Linked DNA regions of Kluyveromyces lactis. The protein of the gene in region 1 interacts with the protein of each later gene in a biochemical or structural test. Links are inferred from orthologs where the notes say so. Each region holds a gene or a part of one and is shown on either strand. Other genes may lie near its edges.

Region 1 (3,521 bases):
TAGAAGTTCGCAAATCACACTTGAACGACATAAAATTCTCCTGAATTTCGAAAGGACTCCTTGTTGATCTGGAGAAACTATTATTGCATCTCTTAAATGATGAATCAATTCTTGAATGTGGTTAAAACTGGAGATAGAAAATATGAGATTGATCAACTTAAAGGAAGCCTTAGTTTGACTATCCTCGTTCTTTCGGAGATATAAAACTAGATTCTCTAATGTTGGAAGCCCAACGCTATCCAGTTCATCATTTGGAACTATTTGTAATATTCGTGTGATGTTATGGAGGGACAAGTTTATTTCCCCTAGGCAATATAATACGAGTAACGCCACACAGCTGAGATCATACGGATCATAGCCAGTTACTACCCTAATTTTTTGGAATTCGACGGTCATAATGAACCTCAGCAGCAATCTTAATGCTTCTATATATTAGTTTCCTTTTCGGTGTATCTTATTCGCATTTGTGTATATCCTATCATTAAATAAAGTATCCGATTTTGTTGACATTTTTCATAAATATGTAAACAATGACTATGAAAGAATTATAAGTAAGAATCATTCCAAGTATCTGTACTCGGTGAGAATCATAGCTCTATCTGGTATTCTACTCGGTACTGGAAGTAATACCCTGAGTTTTTTCTTTGAATCATTCACTTCTGTGATCAAACCGTACCCGATTATCGATGCAGTGTTAAGTTTATCTTGGCTTTCTTTTCTAGATATATTAGTGATAGCGATAATAGCGTGCTGTAAGTTTGAGCTGTTGACTTCAATTTTGTCAAATACTGTTAGATCAACATCCTTTTTATCCTCTCCATATTCAGAGATATTTCTTGGCCTGAAAACTGTTAATTCTTCAAACCCAGCACCCATAGTGTATGGACTTAGGACTGTTTCTGTGGTACCATAAAAGTACTCTCTTATTTGAACCCTCTGTAAAGCTCTTCTCATGATATCATCAATTGCGATAATTGAACCTGGTGGCGGAATTCTTACAATTGATCCTATTTTAGTCCTGAATACTTCACTCAATTCGATAGCTAAGTCATCACTTTCTGCACATACCACTATTGCGTTAATATCGAATTGTTCTATCATGTGGCCAACTTCGGACCAATCTTCGGTGTCAAGATGTGAAAGTTTAGGGGTATCAATTATTACGCCAGACCTTCTTACTATTGGATCGTTCTTTAATCTCTGTTGCACGCCCGATGCTAGTTGTGTAATCGTCGATAAATATAGTGGTCTATTATCTCTGATATTTTCCAAGCCGTAATTTTTAACAAGAGGTTGCTTGTTATGGAGCTTGGTAGCACCTGTAGTAATACTCTGACCCCATATAGAACTTTCAACATCTAGCAACTCAGAAATGGGTGTCGCTGTAATTGAACCTGGCAAAGAAAAAACACCATCTTGTGGGTTCAAGTTCACTAACAACGGTTGATAATGTCTAATCTTCAACGCGTATGAGCATAGCATTTGAGCTAGCGATGATTTTCCAGTTGAGGCGTTACCTACTATTAGTACTCTAGGTCCATTGAAACTAGAGAGTCGTAATCTTTCTAATGCAAAATTTAGATTGTATATGTAGGCATGATATGACTTATTTTCCGAAACTTTTGGCTCAAGCTCTTCTAAACACTTCCATTCGATCATAGATCGTTCAATAGCATAGATGTTCACTATTACACCTTGGAATGTGTAGGGCACATCGTTGGCAAGCTCTGTTCCCAGTATCTCAGCGATCCCATACTTCACAATAACTGTTAGCTTTGATCCTGCTGGAACTTGAACGGTCCATTCATGGCCCTGCGGAAGAGACGATGTCTTAGTGGTCTCAGAAACCTCGCTGAATTCTACAAACTCCATTTCCTTTTTTCTAGCTTCTCCTGCGAGTGGTAATGGTCGGGCTATCAGCTCATCTACCTTTTGTTCTATGTTAATTAAACCTTTTCTAACACTTAAACACTTTAATTTTGATCAATATATCATTACAGATTTTTCCTAGCATACATACTGAAAATATAGTATAAACCAATTGTGGGCAATTATTGATTTGCGCAGGGTTCTTTTCAAGTGTCAGGGATGCAGAGCTACTGTTCTTTCAGGTAGTACTGCATGTTTCACATCTTCCCTACATTCAGTGTATGGGAAATCACTCATTCTATCGAAGTATTTCTCTTAACTTCCTTTAGCCACTTCTCCATCTTTCATCACCCATTCGGTCCAAGACCCGTCGTAGAGTCTGACATTCTTGACACCTGAAATCTCTAATGCAGTCTTGATTATGACACCTGTGACACCAGTACCACACATTGCAATGGTTGGTTTATCGGTTTCAAACTCATTGCCGGTTTGCGAGACGAAGTCTTGTATTTTCTTTAGCATTTCCTCACGATCTGAAGTAAAAGTTTTATCACTGTTCAAGACCTCTAGGAAGGGCAATGGCTGAACGCCAGGAATGTGACCAGAGCTGAGGCCCGGTCTAGGTTCTGGCGCCTCACCAGTAAATCTTTGAAGACTTCTAGCGTCCAAAACCTGGTAGTTCTTAATATCACCTGTCGACACCAATTTCTGCATATCTTCAAAGGAAACTGTTTCTTTCTCTGCCAAATCAACATCGGACACGTATTCACTCATTTCATATGGAGTAAAACTTGTCACTTTAGAAGTCTCAACGGGGTACCCAGACAGTTTCAGGGCAGGGAAATTGTTCAAGAGATATACGGGATCATGTCCCAAAACAGCTAATGTCCATGCACATCTAGGTGCGCTAAAGTTACCAATTCTATCATAAACCACTAAAATATCATCCTTCTTCAGTCCCAATTCACTCATGGATTTATTGAAAGTACTGAGATCTGGTAACATATGAGGATATTCAGATTTCATGTCTTTGACACCATCAATATCAAAATAAACAGCTCCTTTTAGACGTTCTTCATCTAAAAATTCTTGCTTCCCACTTCTGTTCAAGTTTGGTAAATACCAGGTGGAATCTACTGGGATAATACGGCGCTTAGTTTCCTTGGATAATAATTCTGCGAATGCTTTAGGTGTTAATAATTTGTAAAGTGTCATGATGTTTTAAAAACAATTCAATGATCTGGGAAACGCAATTGGGTAGAGCAATAACAATCAAATTTAGCAAGCCAAATAATGCGACTACAACGTGCAAAATTCTGATTTCCTTCTACGTCGTAACTGTGAGTTCCTTCCCCTTTCCTATCCTTACTTTTGCTGTGGTCAAAGATCTAATTTTGACACGATAGTGGAAAGACTACCACGCGAACTGATGTTTACAGTTCACGTGACTCTTAAAATCTACTGATCTAGTTGAAGATATAATTTCAAAAGGAATTTGGAGCGTTGATTTCAGGCGATGAGATGCAATGAGATGGGCTGCTTGGCAAAATATGATGTTAACTGGTCAGAGGTATCTACACTTAAAATCCTCTGAATTATATATTACGAACTAGAATTCATGGATATATGCCAATTGTGAGGGAGTTAGATAT
Region 2 (4,412 bases), on another chromosome or scaffold:
CTCATCATAAATTGTTGCACCGGATAATTGCTTGTGAGTTGTATGTGAAAGTGTAGACTCTGCAGTTGTAGTAAATGATTGGAACTGTCTTTGGGGGCACATATTACCGAATCCATATAATCGTGGACCTTGCCCGATTAGGTTTTTCAAGGTATTATTCACTCTTTACCCACCTTCGTTACTTTGCAGGAATTGGTTGAGGTACCCTTCATAAATGGTCTTTTTTATAATGAAAAGCCATAGATATTATTTTCACAATCATATCCTTAAAACGATTTCAGGAAACCGCATAATATGCTAAGAGTGGATCTGTATTGAAATCGTACCCTGTTCTTAGCAGCACAGATCCACATGAAATCTAACTGATATTGTCGATGACACTTACCTCGAAACCATGGATCAACCGGCAGCTAATAATCAAGAGAACGTAACAAACGAACAAGGACCTCTCATGGATCTCGAAGAAGATGAAGAGATCGACGTATTCCATAATGTCGGCCAGGGACTTGCTGGCAGATACAGAGAAATTATGATACAGTATTGGCAGGAACTTATTAATGAGATAGAATCCACGAATGAGCCAGGTTCACAATTCCAAGACGACTTCAAATCGCATTCGTTACCACTAGCAAGGATTAAGAAAGTGATGAAAACTGACGAAGAAGTTAGAATGATTAGTGGAGAGGCTCCAATTCTATTTGCAAAAGCCTGCGAAATCTTCATCACAGAACTCACAATGAGAGCATGGTGTGTTGCAGAGGAAAATAAGCGACGTACGTTGCAGAAGCAAGACATTGCGGATGCATTACAAAAGTCCGATATGTTCGATTTCCTGATTGACATAGTACCCAGAAACGTTCAATGATCAAACCGCCAAATCATTAGCGTATAAAGTGAAATGAGAGAAATCAACACAATGCCCCACTTACATATTTCAACCGATTAGGCAGTTGACCTCTGAAAAATGCGACATCGGTGAGCTATGACATTATTTAGTTGTTTCTAGCAATATAGCATTATTAACTCACAAATTGTGAATTTCATGATCAGTAATATACAGTTCAATCGAAGTAAATGTTACAAATGTCATGTCAATTACTGTCTGAAATCCATAAATATTCTCGGGCAGGTTTGTACCATCTGTAGCTTTTTCTCTTTCACAGTCTCTCTTCTCTATAAGCACGAACATGAAATTGAAAAAAAAATTAAACACTAAGTTCAGATTTCGTTTTGACTATAAGAAACCACAAGTGACTGAAGAGCGCAGAAACAGCAAGAGCAAGTCAGACATAGCATCAAGCGTGGTTGATACTATAAACCGTGTGTTAAACTTTAAACAAAGCACCTCAACAGTCAGTACTTTTTTGTTTTGTTCCAGTGAGTTTTCAATCATCTGTTTGCTGAGTATAGAAAACTATGTCAACTTCTGTAGACCCTTTAGTCCAGTTGCAACAGGCAGCTGCGATGGCAATGCAGCATATGCCGGAACAAATGCTTCCTAAGGTTTTGGAGACCGGTATCACATTGTTTTTAAATGATAAGCGGAATTTAGGGTTCTCGAGATTTTCTACCCAGTTATTATTGGATATATTGGTTCATGATAAGATTCCATCAAGTGAAAAACCATTCATTGTATGTCAAAACATCACTGCGCTTTGGGAAATGGCTGAAACAAGAGATTATGTCACTTACAAAAACTGTATACTATGTCTTGGTAATATTTATGACCGATTATTTGATTTAGTAGCAAAGACTTCTGATGATAAACTTTGGTCGGTAATGTTAAAGTTTAAAGAACTTATCATTGCCAACTGGAAGACCTGCTATCCTTTGGATTTGTCTGACAATGATCTAAATAACCATTCAAGAGGAACGGGGGTAAAATTAGCAAGTGTGAAGCTCATTTCGAAAATCATTATTGTGCACACCTCAGGACCCGGAATTAGCGTGGGAAGTATACCAGAAAATCATCCTGTGATATCTAATAAGCAAGCGTTGGAGGCTGAAGCCAAATATTTGTTAGATAAATTGTTAACTTTTTTAATTGAGGAACCAATGATGTGTGCACCATGGTTCACAGGTGCTCTTCATAGTCTTTCTTTTATTATGAAGCAGAGACCATTGGCCACAATTCGAATCGCATCCGCTTTACTGAAATTCAACATTGACATGAAATTCCAAAGAGATGATGAACCCACTTTACAATACAGACTTGCAAAGCGATTTGTGGAACGTTGTTACAGAAATTTAGTTCAGTTCGGAATTAAAAGTCAACTACTCAAAAACAGTGGATCCATGACACAGTATAGAAACAAACTAGCTAAAATTTCACAGACTCTATTCGTTATTGGCGAAGAGACCAAAGCTAAAGGTATTCTAAATTATGATCCGGCTGCGATTGAACATAAAATGACTCCAGCTGATAAAAAAAAATACACTAGAGTGAAGGAAGTTAACGACTCTTCTTCAGATTCTTCATCAGGAACATTTTCAGCGACAACGAAATCTCCGTCTCCTATTCAAATGCCACCGATTGTTTCGCCAATGATAGGAAATACAATGATGAATACGGCATCTACTCCACCGTTACTGAATAATTTTCAACCTCAGATACATGCCCCCGTAAAGAACATACCTGCTCCTCCACCCCCACCGCCTGATCTTTCTGTATTGCAATCCCTTCAGAGTTATGCTTTCACTAAATCCACGACAAAGCATCCACATTTTTTGAATCCTGCTCATACCTCTGTCGATAACTCATATTCTGCCGTTTTTGCCTTAATGAACCCCGTCACCTCCGGATTCGATGTCTCGAAGTTGTCTCAAGATACCATGGTTAAAATATGTACTGAGGCTTTAAGTAACACAAACACAGGTACTGCCATTAATGGACTATCCATAGTTGCGTCCAGGTACACCGATTTGATAAACAAGTGGTTACAAAACAATGCTCAACAACAGAGCGCAACTATCTCCAACGATAGTAGTCCAGTCCCATTCAACAACAGTAGCCAAAGTCAAGCTAGTAAACGTCCCAGAGAAGAGAATTCTGCAGCTTTGCCAATAAAGCAAGAAGTTGCAATGAAAAACGAAGAACCTTTACAGCAGCCTGCGGACGATAGGTACGTAATTGATGATTCAGCTCCTATACAGCCACCAGAAAGCAAAAGGGCAAAGATCGAAAGAGTGGAAGATGCAGAACCATCAAGCAGTCATACAGTATCCTTGGGTGTTCCAACTTTAACTTATGATGAGAAGTTGACTCACTTGCAAAGAATTGTGCAGAATATATTACTGATACCAACTAAAACTGATGTGAGCACTCCAATGACACAATTACAAAGTACAAATCCATTGGACAAAGTTCTACTAATGAATTGGGACAATAAGACCTCCTGGGTATTCTTATTATCTAGACTCTGCTCTAGAGGAGTGTCATCGAATCAAGATGTGAGAGATATTGTCACCAACGCAATTTTTGACTACTTCTGTGAGGATTTCCAGAACAGAATCACGCTTGTACTTGAATGGCTAAGTGAAGAGTGGTACCATGAGGAATTGATTTCCGATGGTAAAGATCATACCATATATAATGAATGGTCAGTAAAGGTGCTAGATTTCATGATCCCCAAACTTGATGACTCCCACAGAAGATTGTTTATTCGAATGGTCAGTGAAATGCCGTTACTTACTCAAGAACACATCGAAAAGATGAAATCACTATGTTTAGATCCTACTAGATCGGTATTGGGGTTCCAGTCTTTGAAATTCATGTTGATGTTCAGACCTCCAGTGAAACCGTTCATCAAAGTTGCCCTCGAATCTATGGCTGAAGTAGACGAAAGTATCAAACCACAATGCGATTCACTATTGAACAAGTATTTTTCCTGAGTAAAGCTATTCTGAATCAATGTAAACCCTGATTTCTAAATTTATATATCTATATACTAGCCGTCGAAGATATTGCAATTTGGTTGCGTTCCAAAAGCAATATGTAAGGAGAAACTTACTACTTTCCTATCAAACCGTCAACGAATAAAAGAGAATCATAGCTCGCTAATGCCCAATAGGTTTGGCTGAAATTCCACCATGTATCAGTCACTTAATGAGAAATTTGAAGTTTTCAAAAATATAACCTTTTAGCCACATTATCGTTAAAACATATAGTTAACGCACGCACAGCACGATCTCATCTCGTTCTCGTTTCCCTTCGAAACAAAGGACACACACAGAGCTTCTTTGAGAAAAAGAAATGAACTAATGCCGTCTCGCTGAAATTTGAAAAAAAAAATAATTTCAACATCGCTTCTTCTTGAATATGTTTTCAGGAATCTAACTAAGTCAGAGGAAGTGAAAGTGATAAACAGAACGAACCAAGGCCCGAAAAGAGGTGTGCGTTTATTCATTGTGTT

Evidence for each region.
Region 2: the proteins of CLP1 (region 1) and PTA1 form a complex in vitro, tested with the Saccharomyces cerevisiae proteins (2 studies listed by BioGRID). The link is inferred for Kluyveromyces lactis from reciprocal best matches to the Saccharomyces cerevisiae genes CLP1 and PTA1.

What each region holds. Positions count from the first base shown.
Region 1 is NC_006039.1:859,976-863,496, reverse strand, and holds CLP1 (cleavage polyadenylation factor subunit CLP1), read right to left. Parts: upstream 1,873-3,521; coding exon 559-1,872; downstream 1-558. Other genes in the region: APC5 (anaphase promoting complex subunit 5), read right to left, coding at 1-396; TUM1 (thiosulfate sulfurtransferase), read right to left, coding at 2,185-3,084. UniProt on the Saccharomyces cerevisiae protein: Component of the cleavage factor IA (CF IA) complex, which is involved in the endonucleolytic cleavage during polyadenylation-dependent pre-mRNA 3'-end formation. Associates with HRB1/CF IB to form the cleavage factor I (CF I) complex.
Region 2 is NC_006037.1:330,518-334,929, reverse strand, and holds PTA1 (RNA-processing protein PTA1), read left to right. Parts: upstream 1-1,416; coding exon 1,417-3,891; downstream 3,892-4,412. Other genes in the region: SNX3 (Snx3p), read right to left, coding at 1-102; HAP5 (Hap5p), read left to right, coding at 395-865. UniProt on the Saccharomyces cerevisiae protein: Essential in pre-tRNA processing. Component of the cleavage and polyadenylation factor (CPF) complex, which plays a key role in polyadenylation-dependent pre-mRNA 3'-end formation and cooperates with cleavage factors including the CFIA complex and NAB4/CFIB.